Caenorhabditis elegans: one gene and its partner. The protein of the gene in region 1 purifies or fractionates together with the protein of each later gene. This does not show direct contact. Each region holds a gene or a part of one and is shown in the gene's direction. Other genes may lie near its edges.

Region 1 (8,048 bases):
TCAAATGTATCATGTTCTTTTCGAGTGGTAGGTTACTGTAGAATACTTTTTGTAAATTCATTATTTCAATGAAAACAATATTTCAGAATCCGGACTAAGTGCTGCTGGACGGCAAATCGTTTCGGCGGCTCGTGAAAAATATTTATCAGCTTTATATAATTATGGGCGTGCAAATAAATGTACCACATCAGCTCAGGCAACTCTTCGAATCGCGAAATTTATGATTATGCTTTCCGCAATTACGGTATGTTTTTAGAACACATATTATTCGATTTTTTGCCAAATTACGGCACCGGGTCTCGACGCGACAATATTTTGTTTAATAGAAATAGGTGTACGCCTTTAAAGAGTACTGTAATTTCAAACTTCCGTCGCTGCAGAATTTTCTTCAGTTTTTAATAGTTCTTACACAATTTTTTTAATGTTAAAAAATGCCAAAATAAAAATCTTCTTAACCGAAAACTATGAAAAATCGGAAATAATCCACATCAACGAAAATTTCAAATTACAGTACTCTTTAAAGACGCACACCCATTTGTATTTTACAAAAAAAACGTGTCGAGACCTTTTTTGTCGCATGACTCATAATATTTTGAATTTTCAGAGTTTGACACATTTAATGAATGAAGGAGTTCATGTGACGTCACTTTTCAATATAATTGAATTTGACGAACTAATCCAAGCAACTCATAAGACGACTCCACCTCAACATTCTCCTCCAGCTCCAATGGGTTAATGTGTTAATTTCGGTTTTTGGATTCTACCTCTTTGATCTCGTTTCATATCAGAACTTGACTGTTTCATTATTTGAATGGATTATTTCTTGAAACATCCGTATATATCTTATTGAACATTTTGACGCTGTGATATCCTGTACCATAGATAAATATGTATATAATCGTTGTGTATTGCAAAAGAAAATAAATTCCTTTTTTTTAACTTATAAATAATTAAACAACAATTGAACAAGATAAATAATGAGAATTCAAACAGCCTTTTTAACAAATTCGACACTTTTCGATGGATCCGTTGGAAAATATTCTTGCATTTTGGTCATCAGTCGTTTGAACGCCTATAATGTTTAAAAGTTGAGATTTTCAAAAGAATATGGAAATTCTAACCTGAATGTACTTTCTCTGAGTTTCATCATTCAGTACGTGAGCAATATTACTGACATATGATTTTGCAGATCCAGGACGTTGATGAATACCAGAACGAGTTACTCCAACTGGCCAAGGTGCATTTCCGATGGCCATTTCCATATAGGCATTATTTGCTTCCAAATAATTTCTATCAATTACTAGCAATCTGAAATATATATTAAACAACCGAAAATAAAGAAAATTTAAGAATTTTTTCATACACATTGCAGTTTAATTTTTGATTTTTTTTTGGTATAGTATTTGAATTTCTGAAAATCTCAAAAATTCGATAAACAGAGAAAGGTTTTAGTGAAAAAATAAATGTTTTAAATATATGATTATACTTTTATTATTCAAACGCGGAATTTCGAAAAAAATTTTTTAAATGTCTCTAATTTTGAATACCTATGTACCTATTAAATTTTTACGAGTTCTTTCCATCAAATTTCATGCCAATTTACCGAGTTTTCTCTTTTCGTGTAAGTTTTTTTTTTTTGAAAAATGGTTTTTTCGTGTCAATTGAATATTTTATTTTCTCAAAATTCGCAGATCCGCTTATTTTCACATCACAATTGGACAGAAATCCAACTCTGGAATTTTCATGATAATAAAATGCTTAATTGGCACGGAATCAAATTTGGAGCCATTTTAAAACTCCATATTTAAATTAGTTTTTTTTTTGCTCAGCTACATTTGAAAACCCCGGAAATTTCCAATTACAAGATAATTTTCGCATTTTGAATAAAATTAGTTTATTTTTTAAGTGAATTTCGATGAAAATTATAATGTTGAATCAAAAAATAACCTACTAACCTACAAATCTTGGCCAAATGATGCCGAATATCATTATTACAGTTGTATCTTTCCATTGAAGTCATTAAACTTTTAAGATGCATCATTGTTTGCTTGTGATGGGCTGCTTCATGCATACCTATTGAAAATATAAACATTTAATACACTTTTTTTTTAATTTATTGTACCTTGTGCTGTCTTTTTTACATCCAGTGGCCTATCGTTCAGATCCTTAGCCCATCTTGCGAGTATATAACGGCAAATTGAAAGAATAATATCACAATCTCGTTTCAAATCGTCATCTATAAAAAGTAATATAGTTTCGAGAAATTATTTCAAATCTCATACCGACGCTCAAAAGAGTTGAATTATGTTCGATATTTTTCCAATTATCTTCTTCATATCCTTGTGGAAGAGCAATATCATGTCGTGTTGCACTATCAGCTGTACCTTCAACCACTGCCTGCAATATTTCATTTCATGAAATTTGAATTAATGTTATTTTTAACCTTATCCATTTCTTTTCCGATAACTTTCATTGCTGTTTGTAATTCATTTTCCCATCCTTCATTGAGATCAGGTTGAGCAAGTTCTAACTGATGAAGGCGTTTACGCACATCAATATCAGTTTCACCTGAAAATTAATTTTTTTAAATACGATTTTGGAAAATGCCAAACCGAAAAGCATAATTGGGTGATTTCGCTGGCGAAGACGTGTTTGAATTTCCGACATTGGTGTTTTTTCATCAATCTCTGATTCGTTTTCCACGGGCGCGGGTTTAGTTCGACTGGATGATTCTTGAAGTATCTCGTCGTCAACTTTCTAAATGATGTCTTTTATAATGATTTACTATATGATAATTTAATTGCAAATATTATTCAGCAATACCTAATCCTTCTTTATTAGTGTCAGAAAATTTTATAAGACAAATTCCTACAACGAAGTTTTTAAAAGAAAACTTACTCGTTTCTTACTAGCTATTTCCTGCTGTTTTCTTTCGTATTCCTGATTTCTTTTCATTTCTAAATCAGCGCCTTTGACAAACTTTGCGTTTCCTTCTTTTACTTCCATTCCAGACACGGCTTTTCGTTTTTTTGCCATTTCAGCAAGTAGTTTTGCTTTGAAATCCATTATCTGAAGAAATAATAATAGAAGCATTGATTTAAAATAAAGTAAAAAAAGAAACTAACGGAATAAAGGAAAAAATGGAAACCGGATGAAAATCGTCAATTTAAGATTTTTATTCGAAAATGAAGAAAATAGAGAGACAGAAAATGAGAGACGCAGACAGCGCAATGCAAACACGCTCGATTGAGAAAAGTTTATTTTATTGCTGAAACATGCTCCACATCCGCTTTCTGCTCTTTTTCTTGATATCTTTTTAATTGAGACATCTTCCCAATATGTTTTTATTTTCAGATGCTTGGTGTATTCCAAAAACGATGTGCCTCAACTGCCCCTCTAATTCGTCCCATTCAACGGGTTTTAGTTGCAAATCGTGGAGAAATCGCCATTCGCGTCCAAAATACCGCTCGTAAAATGGGAATTGAGACAGTTGCTGTTTTTTCTGACGCAGACCGTAATTCCCTCTTTGTTAAAAAAGCTGACAAGGTAAGAATCCATAGTATTCGTGAAGTGTTAAACTGAATTTAATGTCAGGCATACCACATCGGCCCTCCTCTTGCAGCGGAAAGTTATCTGAATATGGACAAAATTATCAACAGTGCATTGCGATCTGGAGCACAAGCTATTCACCCAGGATACGGTTTCCTATCTGAAAATGCTGGATTCGCTGAAAAATGTGCTCAGGCCGGCCTTGTTTTTATTGGACCACCAGCCCAAGCTATCAGGGATATGGGAGCCAAGAATGTATCGAAGCAAATCATGGAAGATGCTAAAGTTCCTGTAGTAAAAGGATTCCACGGAGAAGATCAATCAGATGCTAATTTGAAAAAGAAATCAGCAGAAATCGGTAATTTTTTAAAGTATAGCCCCACATAAATTTATTTAAAATTTCAGGCTACCCGGTTATGCTGAAGGCTGTCTATGGTGGAGGTGGAAAAGGAATGAGAATTGCGTGGAACGAGGCTGAATTCGAAGAAAAACTGGCTTCAGCTCGTAACGAAGCTAAGAAGTCGTTTGGAAACGATGAAATGCTCGTGGAAAAGTTTGTCGAGAAGCCGAGACACGTTGAAGTACAAGTTTTCGGAGATCACCATGGAAACTATGTTCATTTATGGGAAAGAGATTGCTCCGTTCAAAGACGTCATCAGAAAATTATTGAAGAAGCACCAGCGCCAAATATGGGTAAGTCAGTCTCGTGAAAAAGTTTTAAATGAGATTTAATGTTTTTGCAGAACATGATACTCGTGTAAAACTCGGAGAATCAGCTGTTCGTGCTGCGGCGGCTGTGGGATATGTTGGAGCAGGTACCGTCGAGTTCATCATGGACCCGCGTGGCGAATTCTACTTTATGGAAATGAACACTCGGCTTCAAGTCGAACATCCCGTCAGTGAAGCTATCACAGGTATAGATTTTATAATGGGAGATTGGAAATTATCAAATAATTTGATTTCAGGCACGGATCTTGTTGAATGGCAATTACGGGTAGCTCAAGGAGAGAAGCTTCCACTGAAACAATCAGAAATTCCATTAAACGGTCATGCATTTGAATGTCGTGTGTATGCCGAGGATACTCGTAAAGGAGCATTCATGCCAACTGCGGGACGTCTTAATTATGTTGACTTCCCGGAAGATGCTAGAATCGATACAGGAGTTGTTTCTGGAGACGAAGTATCAATCCATTACGATCCTATGATTGCTAAGGTAAGTATTTCAGAACAGCTTCTAAACAATCATCTCCTTTTCTAGGTGGTAGTGTGGGGCCAGGATCGTGCTGTTGCTGCTGCAAAATTGGAAAGTGCTTTGGCTCGTACAAGAATCTCAGGGCTACCCACAAACATTGACTTTGTCCGCAGAGTTCTTGCTCATCCTGAATTTGCCGCAGGAAATGTTTATACCGATTTTATCCCTGATCACCAGAAGGAACTATTTGCTGAATCTGAAACTCCTGCTGAAATTTACGTTGAGTCGGCTGTAGCACATGCTTTGGCTGCCCTTCAAAAATCAGATGCAGGTGTCTTCCAGAATTTATCTTTCTTTAGAATGAATTTGTCACCAAAATACATTTTCAAAATAGGTAACGCGTTTAGTTTGATAAAGAAAAATAAATAGCTTAAATTCAGACGGAAAAGATGTCAGCATTAGATTTGATTCTGATAGTCGCCTGACAGTGTCTTATGATGGCAACAGTTATGAAACACTTCTCAACGACATTGAATCAACCACAGACGGATCTTTCAAGTTTACATTGGAAGCTAATGGCAGGCGCTGGAGTACTGTCGTTAAAAATCTAGGAAATAGTTTGATGGTAAGTTTGTGTCTCAACAAATCATAGTTTTGAAAAGTTAACTTTAAGGTGAATGGAGTTGGTCAAAACGAATATGAAACTCCACAAATCCATGAAACATTTGATTCGTTATCCGGAGGAGCAGCCAGTCATTCTGCCGTCGCACCAATGCCAGGAATTATTGAAAAAATTCTTGTGAAGCCTGGAGAGCAGGTATGTACAAGTACATGCCGAAAAATTAAATAACTCAAAGTTTAGGTAACTACAGGCCAAGCACTCGTAGTGATGACAGCAATGAAAATGGAATACATCATTCGTGCCCCGGAAGACTCAACTGTTGAACACATTAAGTGCCAGGCAGGCAAAAATGTTCCAAAAAATGCAGTTTTGGTTCAATTCGCATAGGCATTACCTTTATTTTTGGTTTTTTCTCTTAGGTTTTATAGCTATATCCGGTATTTTCAGAGCTTTTCAATTTTTCTTACAACACCCTTTGACAGTTTCAAGTGTAATTAATTTTGAGTACGGTTGTGCAGCTCAGATATTTTTTATGTGCCTTTACCTAGAAATAAAATTATGTGAATATATTCAATCAATCGTTCATTCGGAAAAGCTCAAGTATATTCCAATTATTTTGGAGATGAATTGAAAGTTCCTTCTCTTTTACGGATCAATTTCTGGGCATCTCTCAATACATCATTCCTGTCCTTATGAAGCTCAGACATATTCACTTCCGCATCCTTTTCATCACTGTTGGCACCTTCAGTCGTCAAATACTTCAGAGCGACATTCTCAATATCATCTAAACGATCTCTTCTATCATTCTCTATTTGTTGTTCCATGTAGTTCTTAGCTTCAAATTGCTGCTTGTTGCGATCATTAAGCTTCAATCGTAACATCCTTTGTCTGTATCTTTCTCTTGCTTTTTCCCAACGATATGCATATTCGTTCATTTTTTCTTCATTTTTTCCAGTCTGTTCTTCATTTTTTCCAGTCTGAACAATTTTCAACAATATGGTTGATTTGTATTTTGAACACTTACAAGTCTAAATTCATAGCTCAACATCATTTTACTGCCTTTTTGATTTTTGCTTGCAGATTGGAACACATCAACGTCAGGATTTTTCCATTCACTGGCCAGCTTTGAACATTTTTCCGGATTATTGATTTTAACTTCATCAATCTGGAAATAAACATCTCAAAGCCTTACGATCTTTATCTACAAACCGCGAAAAATTCTCCAGTCACTTCTTCCCATTCTCCTGTGAATCGTTCTTCAAGATCATCTTCAGAAAGTTCCACCTCTTCAAATGTGTACTTTGAAGTCGGTGTATCTTCTGATAACGATTGAATTCCTTTGAGGATATTGAACATCATACTGAATATGAAATATTTATCAATGAAGAATTTTCAGTAGTTTCAAGCTGTATAAACTTTTAAAAAAGTATCCATGTAAAAATATAATTTATTATTCGATTATTCAAACTGTCCACTGTCAACAGTGTTACTCCCGAGATGAATACGGTAGCCGGTCTCGACACGACTTTTGTTGTTAAATGCGAATAGGTACGAAGAGTACTGTAAAGTAAAATTTTCATTGCTGCGAAATTTTCACATTAAAAAAAGGGAACACATAAATTTCAACAAATAGAGAAAAAATATGAAAATTCGAAGAAAAATTGCGCACACAATTACTCAATTTTTCGTGTCGAGACCGGGTACCGTATTTTCGACACAAAAAAGGAAAAATCTAATGTTTAGCTAATATTAGAAAAGTAAAAGTTGAAACTGGAAACCTACTGATAGTTTGGTCTTTGCAAGGCTCTACACTCAAGCAGATGCTCGAAAAATCTCTCCATCGTTTTTGGCATTTTCATCAGAGCCACACCCATATTCATTTTTTGTCGTGCGAGAATCATATGATCTTTCACTCCATGCCATGGAAGACGATCATTCAAATCAACCAATGTGAACAGAAGTGACCATAGATCATCTTTTCGGCCAAGTTTGTATCCCAGATGAGCATTTGAAGATGTAAAGTTCAGAGATCCACGGAATTGCACCTTGGTACGAAGTGGGCGAGCATAGAAGGCTTTTTCCTGGATATAAATCATGGATCTGTAGGAAGAGGCTAGCGCCGACAGCCGAAAAAATCAGCCAGCCGCACAACCCTTGTGCCTACTTGTGCGATTGTCTGTTTACGTGTCTAACAACCTACGTACCTACCTGCTTACCTCCTCTACGCGCCTACCTGTCTAGCAAGAAGATGCCAGATAAACTGAGAAAATACGGTAAATATCACAACTATTTTAAGTCAAAATTATCAAAAAAATATCGAAAACTCACTTTCGACCATGCCCATTGTCTTGTTAATCCAAAATCAATAACATGCACAATGCGGCTCCTTTTTCTATCATCGGCTGCTCCCATCAATAGGTTTTCCGGTTTTATATCTCGATGAATGAAACCTTTTTCATGCATCAATTTCAGGGCATATAAAATCTGAATCAAGGTTAAATAGATTTTAAACTTCATTTAATGATACCTGAATACCAAGTCGACTCCAAGTTCCTCGCAGAAAACGCCGATCTGGACATTTCAGCTTCAAATCTCTCAAGTTTTCACCAAGAAGTGTCATAACGAAAAAATCTGTAAATCAAAGAATGCACTCCAATGGAAATTTGAGTTTTAAATTACTCAGAT
Region 2 (10,526 bases), on another chromosome or scaffold:
ATCGATAAATACGTTGATACTCTCTGTATAACTAATCAAACGAGCTAGATAGTAATAAGAAAAGACAAGATTAAAGAACCGACACGCTAATCCAATTGTTTTATGAACGTCCATATAAATTCGCCGACAACCCTGGGAAGATGGCTGTAAACGGCTGTAAATTTTGCCTTTGGAACTCAAAGTTATTGATAAGAAAAATGAATTGTTTGTAGAGAAAAGGGAAAACTAAATAACAATTTTTTAGATTTCCCGAACGATTTACGAGATTTTACATTGTGACAGCCTCCTGCTGTTCATTGTGTTCCCATTCTGCAAGCCGGGTGGCGTTTAATGATGTCTTAGAGGGAAATATGGACAGTGATAATTCAACTTTCGGATATTATTCAAAATGTTCTCTACACCAAGCTTTTGTTTATCTATCGCCTGTTTCCCACCACCACCACCTGCCCAAACTTTCTTTTTTTTGTTCTTTTCGTCACGGTTCATGAGAAAGCGGATGAATAACATTGACATGGGAGAATGAAATATATGCTTACCGGCACCAGTATGTCTCAATCAGTTTTCCATTATAGCATTTTCCATTGACGGAGCAAGCACCTTCCCTTCCGCATTCTCCACCCATAAGTTGACTGGCGATTGGCGCAAAAAACGCGAGTAAAATTAGAAGAACTCGCATTGTTGTGTTCGCTGTTCGAGATTCTGTTATTATTAGTTGTTAGAGCAGCTCTTGGTGTTATTGTACATGAATCTGAAAGAAAATATGAATTAAATCAAGAGATGCGGTTAAGCGAAAAAAAAGAACACTTCAGCATTATCACAAAAGTACAAAAAAAGAACGGAGAACAGGAAAAAAACGAAAATGGAGAAGACAAGGAGCGACGAATGAAGGCCGGGTGGCATACTCCGCCCATTTTCTGAGTGTGTTGCGATTGTCTTGACACCTGAGATGGGCGGTCCAAAAAGAAGGATAACAGTACTTTTTTCGAATAGGAACACTAGAAAAAGAACTGTTAGGATAAATCGGAAAACTCATTGATTACATTATTTTATTGCCTATCCGACAGCTGCATGTTGGTTGCGAAATGTGGAGAAAACAACCAATTTATGGCCTTTCAATTGATCATTCCCGTGAAGAAGAAGTGGGGAAAACGATTTACATAAGAAAGTGAACGAAAAACTTTGTTAGAACGATAAACGGAGATTTGTTTGCAATGATTTACTTGGAACCTATTTTACGCCGTTTTCAAGCGATGAATATTCCGAAAATAATGTGATGGAGCTAAATAAACTTATTACGATCTCATTTAAAATATTAGAAATACAGAAAAATGTTCTTATCGTGTCAAAAAAAGAAAAAAAAACAAAGAAAATCATTTTAAAACTCAAAATAAATTTTGGCGCCGTGCACAGCTCGGAAGTCCGCAATTGACGACCGTACCCCTTCGCTTACCGTAGTTCTGATATTTGCTTATCTTTTTTAAATATTATTCTCAAAAACACACACAAAACTTATCTGAAGATTAAAAATACGAAAAACTGTATTCATGTTTGAATAGAAAAAAATCTACAGTATGTCTGTAAACATTATTTCAATATTCAGTCAATTCTGGAATAAACAAATTTGCTCTGCTTCTGGAAATGTTTATACAAAGAAAAAGCGTTATTGTCGGCATACAATACGGAATATAAAGGAAAACGGAAAAAGAAAACCGAAGTGCTAAATCGATAGTGATCACATAGGCGGTTTCAGAATAATCCACGTTTTCGTGCAGCAAGTCGTCCATTGTTCTCGAATTTGAACCTTCCTAAATCAGTCCGTGTTCTAATTTCCCGTACCTGGCCACATATGAACACAAATTATATTGGTAGAACATATGGAAACAAGGTACACGTGTAGTTATTGTCCGATAAAATGATAGTTTTATGACTCATAGGAAATTTGAATCTAGGAAGATTCCACGCAAAACTGTTGGTCAGATGCAATTTTTCACGATTTTTCGAAAAGATGTGCGCCTTTATGGAGTACAGTAATCCATTTCGCAATTTTCTTTGAGTTTTTCACTATATTTCTCTCGTTCACAAAGATTTTGATGGATTATATTAAATTTCTCGTTTTTGGGAGAAAAAAGTAAAAATCAAAGGCAATTTCAAAAAAAAAACCGGAAAATGGTTACTGTGCTTCTTAAAGGCGCACACCTTTCCGTCAATTTAAAATATTATGTTCGTGGCGAGATACGGGGCATACCGTATTTCTGCGTGGGAAATTGCAAAATTTTGTCAAAAAAAAATTTCTTCCAAAATAAGTTGAAAACTCTCACTGGACCGGACGTACAAAACTACATGTTTCTCCCAAAACATTGTTAATGTTGTTTCTCATACTCGAGGTTACCTAGGTATTCAAAACATTTGTACTGAAGAAAAAACATTCAGCATTCGGAAGATAAACTATAAGGTCATGTGAGAAAAGAGAAAAAGTATTGGGGATTCTGAATGTTTCCATAAAATGGGTTTTGTACAGCACAAGGAGTTAGGATTAATTTTACAACTTTAATTGAATTTTTAAGCAGTTGTGGATATTTTCAAATTCTTAAGTTTTCTGATTTATACCTTTTACTTATACGGAACTTGCTAGAATTAGCCAGGTGGCTGAAAATTTTGGTACCACCTTATAAGGTCCTAATGCCTAAAAGATAAATGAAGAGTTGCTGAGAGTAATTGGTGTATCAAATTGGGCTATAGAACATATGTTTATTAAAAATTGAACGGTACGGTATTGAATTTTGAAGATAATTTTTTTTCTGAATTTAATATTTTCTTAACATCTTAAATTCGATTTATCAAATTGACATTTTGAATATTCTGAAAGTTAAATATTTAATGGCTATGAGAAAATTATTATTAATTAGTAGATAGAATACGATTGCGTACCGGAAGGACCTTAGCACAAGTGACGTGGTTATCTAACTGGCTAGTTAGATAACCACGTCACTTGCCTAGGTTCCCATGACTTGGAAAGTTCATGACCGGATAAATTTCAGACAGGAAGACGTGCATGTTATTCTAATTAGTCACTGCTGTCAATTATATGATTCAGGTGTTCAAGTATAATGGTGTGAGAAAATATTGCATGTACTTGTAATCAATGCAAGTACATATTATGTTGTACTTGTATAAATTAGAACGAATTCATAGGGAACATAGAGGTGGAATACAGCATTTAATTGTATATTGTATATTTTGCTGACAACTTATGGAACGGCTTTAGAAGGATATCTGCTGTGCATATATCAAAATTCTAATGAAATGACAAAAACTCTAATTTGAACGCCCGCGTTTTGTCGGGTACGAGACTCCGATATCCCGCGTGCGCCCAGTTTAGTCAAGTTTTTGCTCGGTGTTTTTTTCTTATCATCAACTTTGCAAATAAGTTTTTCCCCTTTATTTTTTACGATTTCAACGATTTTTAGTTCGAAAAATGTGCGAAAATTATTATTGCAATCTTAATAATCTTCTTACTTGCCGAATTCGTCAGAATTTGCCCATTGAACGCTGATTTTTCGAGTTGGACAGTCTTTTATTCCAAATCGATGTTTTTCATAGCTTTTAATTGCAGTAATGTTCCGTCACGTGGCTCAAAATTTGGGCTCAAGAAACACATCCATTCAGTCATGTGAGTTTGAGCAATTATTAGTTTTGATATTCAATATCTGTTTTCCAGACCGGTTGCTGCGTACTCGATGGGAGCGAGGATACCTGAAGGACCTTTACCATCGCCGACAGATTCTTGGAGCTGATCCAGCAATTTCCCGATCTTCATACCCAAACTGGTAAGTTTTTTCTCAGAAAAATGTCATACAAAAGCCGTTTCCCATTTCCCACTGTATTGACTCACTGTGCTGCTAATTGCAATTGAAAATCGCTTGAAACTCAAGCGGTTTAAGTATTTTCTTAACCCATCTCAGTTCTGTGCAAGTACGTAATCATCATTGCTCTGCTGACAAGTCAACTCTTCAATGGGCTCCTATCAAGACTTCCATCGACAACTCTTCGGACGATTTTGCTGCTAACACTGCTGAAATGAAGGTTCTCGTGGAAGATTTGAAAGCAAAAATATCTAAAATCGAGCAAGCTGGAGGAGAAAAAGCCGTGAAATTACACCGCAGTCGTGGAAAAATGCTTGCAAGAGAAAGAATTGACGGCATTGTCGATGCTGGATCACCATTCATAGAGTTTAGTCAACTTGCTGGATACGAGGTAAACGATATTCGTATCCGATTTGAAATTGACTGTTTCTTTTCAGATGTATGGAAAAGAGGAAGTCCCATCTGGTGGAATTCTCACTGGAGTTGGAATAGTTTCTGGTCGTGTTTGTGTCATTGTAGCGAACGATGCGACTGTCAAGGGAGGAACATACTATCCTATCACCGTAAAAAAGCATCTTCGTGCACAAGAAATCGCCCGCGAAAACAAATTGCCTTGTATCTATCTCGTAGATTCTGGTGGCGCAAATCTTCCACGCCAAGCAGATATCTTTGCCGACAGCCAGCATTTCGGAAGAATTTTTTACAACCAAGCAACAATGAGCAGCGAAGGAATTCCACAATTGGCTGTAGTTATGGGAAGTTGTACAGCAGGAGGAGCTTACGTTCCAGCTATGTCTGATCAAGCCATTATTGTCAAAGGAACCGGAACTGTTTTCCTTGGAGGACCACCACTTGTGAAAGCTGCAACTGGAGAAGAGATCTCTGCCGAGGAACTTGGTGGAGCTGATCTTCACTGTGGAGAATCGGGTGTTACTGATTATTATGCCCATAATGATAAACATGCTTTGTACTTGGCAAGAAGTTGTATCGCGGGACTACCACCAGTCGAGGAGCATATGACCTTCAATCCAAACGGTATTACAATAGTAAAATATTCATGTTTCTAATTCTCATTCTTCAAAATTTTCAGCTGATGAGCCTTTGTATCCAGCTGAGGAAATTTACGGAATCGTGGGATCTAATCTCAAAAAGACATACGACGTCCGCGAGGTTATCGCTAGAATTGTCGATGGCTCTCGATTCCACGAATTCAAGGAGAGATATGGAGAGACGCTTGTGACCGGATTTGCTACTATTTATGGGCAGCGTGTAGGAATTCTAGCTAATAATGGTGTTCTGTTTGCTGAAAGTGCCATGAAAGGTTCTCATTTTATTGAGCTGTGTTGTCAACGGAAGATTCCTCTTCTTTTCCTTCAAAATATCACTGGATTCATGGTATGATTCGACAATTTTTCAATATTCACAGAGTTTAATCTAATTTTTTAGGTTGGAAGAGATGCTGAAGCCGGCGGAATTGCTAAACATGGAGCTAAATTAGTTACTGCGGTCGCTTGTGCAAAGGTTCCAAAAATCACCGTTCTCGTCGGAGGTTCATACGGAGCTGGAAACTACGGAATGTGTGGAAGAGGATACAGTCCAAGGTTTGGAAAATATAGTTGGGATACTTTCAATCTAGCTATTTCCAGATATGTGTTCATGTGGCCTAATTCTCGAATTTCCGTAATGGGTGGAGAACAGGCAGCGAATGTACTTTCAACTGTTCAAAAAGAGAAAAAGAAGCGCGAGGGAGCTGACTGGACGGATCAGCAAGATCTTGAGCTTCGTAAACCTGTCGAGGAAAAGTTTGAGAAGGAAGGACACCCATACTTTGCTTCCGCTCGTCTTTGGGATGATGGAGTTATCGATCCAAAAGACACCAGAAAGGTATGGTTTCTCAAAACACTTCTAGAAAAACCCAAATTTTTCCAGGTTCTCGGACTCGCTTTCCAGTCAACCCTGCAAAAGCCAATCCCAGAAACCAAATTCGGTGTATTCCGCATGTAACTTGTTGATTCAGGACCATCTCACTCATGTATTTTTTGTTGTGAGATTTTTATACGGATTTTCTTTAATATAGAGCTTTTTGTTAGTATGTTACGACGGTTTAAATTTATTTAGAGTATAGCTTTGATTCTGATTGCTTCCGTTGATTTCTAACCTGCTTCATACCAATCGAGTGCCTTTATGTGTTATCTAGGAATTTTCTCTTTAGTTATGAAACAAATAAAGTTGATATGATAAATATATATATTAATTATTTTACCTCGTTTCTATTGTATATTAAACTGATTCACTATGTTTTTATTTATTCTGCACAACACAGGGAGAAATGGGAAATGGCTTATATTTACAGGAGAAATTTTAGAATAAAGACAAATTAAAAATTTGCAGGGATTACGACAGTGAACTATATGCTTTTGGACACAGAATTGGAGCACCGGAAATATCCGAGGATCAGTATATTAAGGTAAGTTAAAAATATTTCAAAGTAGGAATCTGAAAAATTTTCATTTTTCAGGCGCTTACAAATGAATCATTTTTTCAAAGAGCCGACGTCGAAGAAAATGTAGAAAGTGCTCAGCCGGGAGCAGAAGTTGGAACTGAACATAATGCAGAGCTTGTGAAACGTGGAGAGCAAAATCTGTCGATTTGGCTTAAAAGATATTTGCGATTCCATTTGGCAAAGGCTCCTGAGGAATTGATTGAAGCAATTGATTCTCATCTTTTGGATGATGAATGTCTTGCTGGTATTGCTAGTCATCTCGGTGAGACTTCCTCACGAATTGTATCTTGTTTTCAGTTCAGCATTTTATATTTAGTTTCAAAATAATTTCAATTTCAGGTATCGACCACCTTGTCCGTACAAAAGAATTCCCGATCAGTCAAGAATCCTCAGCCGACGCTTTCCGTGCTCTCGCTGGAGTTTTCTCTGATGAAAAAGTGAAAAATCTTGTGATCGATTTCATAGTTCCCCAACTAGTTGATATTGATTTTGCTGGTAATGGTATTATCTTCCAGATTTATATTTTTATTTCATAAATTGCAGACATATACCCACTTGCCGATCCTCTTGCTGTTGTAACTGATTTGTTAAAATCTAACGGTGTCACTGAAATTGAGCCACGAGTTCTTCGATCGGCCGGAGAGAACAGCGCAGAGCCGATCTATGTTGTTGCAATTTATGCGGACAAATTGAAGAATGTTGGACAAAGTGCTGGAGAATCATTGGCAATTGCTGTTGATATGGCTGCTAGAGAAGCATTGCTCAGACTCTGGGATATTACTTCAGAAAAGTAATTTTTATCAAAAAATATTTGATACGATGCTCCTGTAGCTATTACCGAGAAGCGAAAATTTTCAATTTTTGCACAAAAAAATCGGTACCCGGTTTTTTTGTAAAATGTAAAAGAGTGTGAATTATCATAGATTTTTCGTAGTTTTTAGGGGGAAAAAAATGAAAAATCAATAAAAATTTAGCAGCAACAAGAGCTTGAAGTTACAGTACACATTTCAAAAACAATTTCGTGTTCAGACTAGGTACCGTATTTTTGGCGCAAAATTTCGCATCTAGATGATATTTAAAAAATTAAAATTTCAAGCTTAATCAGAAGCAGGGCTGGGGCAAAAAAAAGCCGAAGACAACGAAAAAATAAAATTCGCCGAAAACCCAGAAAAAGCGAAAAACAGATAATATTCTGTTTAAAACGCTTTTTTGGAACATTTTTGAACCTACTACGCTAGTTACATTTTCGAGTGTCTTTTTTTTTTGAAAACAAAAGTCAAATTTCGAAATTCATGAATTTTGAAGCTAGATAACCCGATTTTCCAGCAAAAAATATTCAGCGAAAGTTTAAATTCTATGAAATTAAAAATAAAGTAATTTTTTCAGAGTCCTCTTCTTTGGCGATCGTGCTGCCAATGTACCACTGGAACGATACTCTCAACCGAATTTCTCATTGTCACAGAAGTGCTCTCCAGGGTATTTGCCAAAACCAATCTTCAAAATCAATGAAAATCTACTTCTTAATTTCAGAACAAACACGAACATTATTGACCATAGCCAACCTGTTGAATCACCAGACAATCTAATTGAAGCAGTTCTCCGATACCGAAATGTGGTTGATGCAGAAGTAGGAAAGAGCTACACTAAACGATTGCGACACAAATTCTCGCGTGGTTCGCTTGCGAAACGGTCCTTCAGATATCTTGTCAAGCCGAAGCCTTACACGGTTGCTTAATTATTATTATCTAGAGAGAAGCCTTTAAACCTTCAGATTTCAATCGTATTATCTCATTTTTCCTCTTTTTTTGTTTTGTTCCAAATAGTTTTCCTTTCATTTTTGTTTGTGTTGTTAAATTTTTCAAATCAAGCTAGAATAGTGAAAGTTTCAATTTTACTCTGTTATTTGTTCTACTACATTTCCCCATTTCCACACTTGTACATGAGTGCTCAATGAAGTCGAAATTGGCAACAGCTAATCCATTCAGTTCCCATCTTGTTAAAGGAACATAAATTAGTCACATTTAAAATTCAAATTGAATTCATAATGCATCCCTTTCCTCTCTTCTTGTTGTTCCCTTCTTCCTTCCATCTCCGCTTTGCTCTTTGTCCTCCCATCGGCTCCTTGATAAATGATGGGGTCCCCCTTGGCCAGATGCAACCCCATTTATCTAAGACCCCGCTGCTGGCTCCGTGAGCACATACACAAGAGATGTGACCCTTTGATAAGCCCCAATGGGACGATTCTTCTTGTTTATTAGAAATTTGATATGCAGTTTGTTGATGGAAGATTAAATTTGAACAATATTTTATAAACAGTGGAAGGTGGAAATTGGAGCGTTCTATAGAATTATAGAAAAATTCATTCATTTGTTTATCAGTCAGTTATCAACCGATTATAGATCACACCAATGTAATGGACATTACAGAAAAAAATACGTAAGAAACCACAGGTTTACAGATCCGGAAAAAGAAAATTCAGACGTCATTCTCTATGATTACGGTAGTTGGTGAGCTCTGTTGAGTGCACTCTTGCATTTTATTTTACGTGCAAACACATCGTACTGCTTCTTTAAACTAAGTACTTGTTTTTGCCAATAATAATAATATAAAATATTTTGTATATTTTTTCGATGAACATATTATATACATATTTTTTATGATAATCATATTTTCGATAAACTTTTAAAAAAACGAAAATCAAACAATATAAAAACATAGATTTCCTGAGAAAAACTATGAAAAATCGATTAAAATTCCACAAAGTTTGAAATCACAGTACTCTTAAAAGGCGCACACCTTTTCACATTTAACAAAACGCATTCGCGTTGAGACCAGGTACCGTATTTTCGACGTAACAATCGAATGATATAACTACGCAAGATTAGTTTTGTTCTGTCAGAGTGAAAGTTTAAAGAATCTGACATAATTCTTCAAGTCAGTTGTTCAATGACCTTTTCAGCCAAACAAATTGAGAAGTACCACATCACACCTGGCTCCATCTTCCATGCATTAATGGGAACAATTTGAGCAATTGGTGGTGATGATAAAAAAGAGATAAAGTTGCACTTTTTCTTTGATTTTTTCATGATTCCTGATTCACCTTTAGTTTTTTTTCTTTTTTACACTGTCTTTGTGCTTTTGAGCTTCTTCTTCTTTCATTTCTCAAAAAGCTGCAAGACATCACGTGACACAATTGAGCCATAGACATACTTTGTGGTTTGTAGTGTGTTATGAAGTGTCTGAAGCGTTCAGAAGATCCCTCTGATGAAACTGAAACAAAACATCTCATTGACTAAGGTTTGCAGGTACATCAAAGTGTAATGGGGTCAATGAAGAGCCTGATGAAATTGATAAAGAGATAAGATGATAGGGATTGGAATGTTCTAGATTCGATTGAAAAAGAGATGGAAAAGTAGAGATCACGGATTGACAAATGCTATGAAGTTCTGCAAATGAGCTTTACAAAAACGCGACCACGATGTCGCACTTTTAACATTTTCTATCAAAAATGTTGAAGAATCGAATTCGAGGAGCATAAAGAATGAAAATCTGTTTTTTTTAATTGAAAATACCATGAAATTCAGTTAATTACAGAAAGCTCCAAAAATGATTGGAAAAAATTAAGCCGCCAGATGTCAAATGCTTTAACTTTTTTCAAAGAAGAGTTGATAACAAATTGTCAATAACAAAAACAAAGAAAACGTTATGACCTATATTTTGTATGTAGAAATTTTTTTTGCAAAACCTATTAGTTTTTGACTTATTCTCTTTTGGAAATTTTGAAAAATTATCAAGTTTTCCTACCTGCGCTTTTCAAACTTCAAAAAACTATGCAACTTGTCCTTCCAGTTTCTGAATTACGTTGTTGGCAAATAAGCTACCGTAACCCTGCACTTTGTACCCAATTCTTTCAACTGCTCAATGGACCTCGGAACCATATTGTTTACAATCACAACAACCACAACAAAACCCATAAACTTTGTGAAGACAACTCGAAAGTTTCGAAAATGTGCTTTACGTGAAGCCGACATGTGGTAGCCATTTGGGATTCATTTCACCGACCAAACTTCAATTCTTTCCATCTTTTCTAGAGAACAATCAATCGTTATTTGAATTAAAATACTTTATTTTGGGGGAAAATAATTGGAAAACCATATCAT

What was found. Proteins that work in one complex are often made in the same cells at the same time.
Region 2: the proteins of mccc-1 (region 1) and mrpl-44 fractionate together in Caenorhabditis elegans (co-fractionation; one large-scale study listed by BioGRID). This does not show direct contact.

Annotation. Positions count from the first base shown.
Region 1 is NC_003282.8:9,881,216-9,889,263, forward strand, and holds mccc-1 (Methylcrotonoyl-CoA carboxylase subunit alpha, mitochondrial), read left to right. Parts: upstream 1-3,354; coding exon 3,355-3,546; intron 3,547-3,594; coding exon 3,595-3,907; intron 3,908-3,954; coding exon 3,955-4,242; intron 4,243-4,292; coding exon 4,293-4,463; intron 4,464-4,514; coding exon 4,515-4,762; intron 4,763-4,807; coding exon 4,808-5,135; intron 5,136-5,181; coding exon 5,182-5,366; intron 5,367-5,414; coding exon 5,415-5,558; intron 5,559-5,603; coding exon 5,604-5,750; 3' UTR 5,751-5,930; downstream 5,931-8,048. Other genes in the region: Nuclear hormone receptor family member nhr-4, read left to right, coding at 1-27, 87-244, 605-736; prp-18 (Pre-mRNA-splicing factor 18), read right to left, coding at 986-1,072, 1,122-1,308, 1,956-2,073, 2,123-2,236, 2,283-2,397, 2,444-2,568, 2,613-2,757, 2,899-3,066; ttbk-3 (non-specific serine/threonine protein kinase), read right to left, coding at 5,975-6,340, 6,388-6,528, 6,573-6,723, 7,146-7,444, 7,692-7,847, 7,891-7,994, 8,043-8,048.
Region 2 is NC_003281.10:9,082,463-9,092,988, reverse strand, and holds mrpl-44 (Large ribosomal subunit protein mL44), read left to right. Parts: upstream 1-3,613; 5' UTR 3,614-3,615; coding exon 3,616-3,670; intron 3,671-3,718; coding exon 3,719-3,827; intron 3,828-3,962; coding exon of another isoform or gene 3,963-4,254; intron 4,255-4,300; coding exon of another isoform or gene 4,301-4,898; intron 4,899-4,953; coding exon of another isoform or gene 4,954-5,258; intron 5,259-5,309; coding exon of another isoform or gene 5,310-5,464; intron 5,465-5,509; coding exon of another isoform or gene 5,510-5,747; intron 5,748-5,792; coding exon of another isoform or gene 5,793-5,867; exon of another isoform or gene 5,868-6,245; intron 6,246-6,254; coding exon 6,255-6,330; intron 6,331-6,381; coding exon 6,382-6,628; intron 6,629-6,705; coding exon 6,706-6,861; intron 6,862-6,909; coding exon 6,910-7,156; intron 7,157-7,752; coding exon 7,753-7,842; intron 7,843-7,896; coding exon 7,897-8,101; 3' UTR 8,102-8,679; downstream 8,680-10,526. Other genes in the region: glp-1 (glp-1/Notch intracellular domain), read right to left, coding at 537-676; mccc-2 (putative methylcrotonoyl-CoA carboxylase beta chain, mitochondrial), read left to right, coding at 3,616-3,670, 3,719-3,827, 3,963-4,254, 4,301-4,898, 4,954-5,258, 5,310-5,464, 5,510-5,747, 5,793-5,867. UniProt on the Caenorhabditis elegans protein: Component of the mitochondrial ribosome. May have a function in the assembly/stability of nascent mitochondrial polypeptides exiting the ribosome.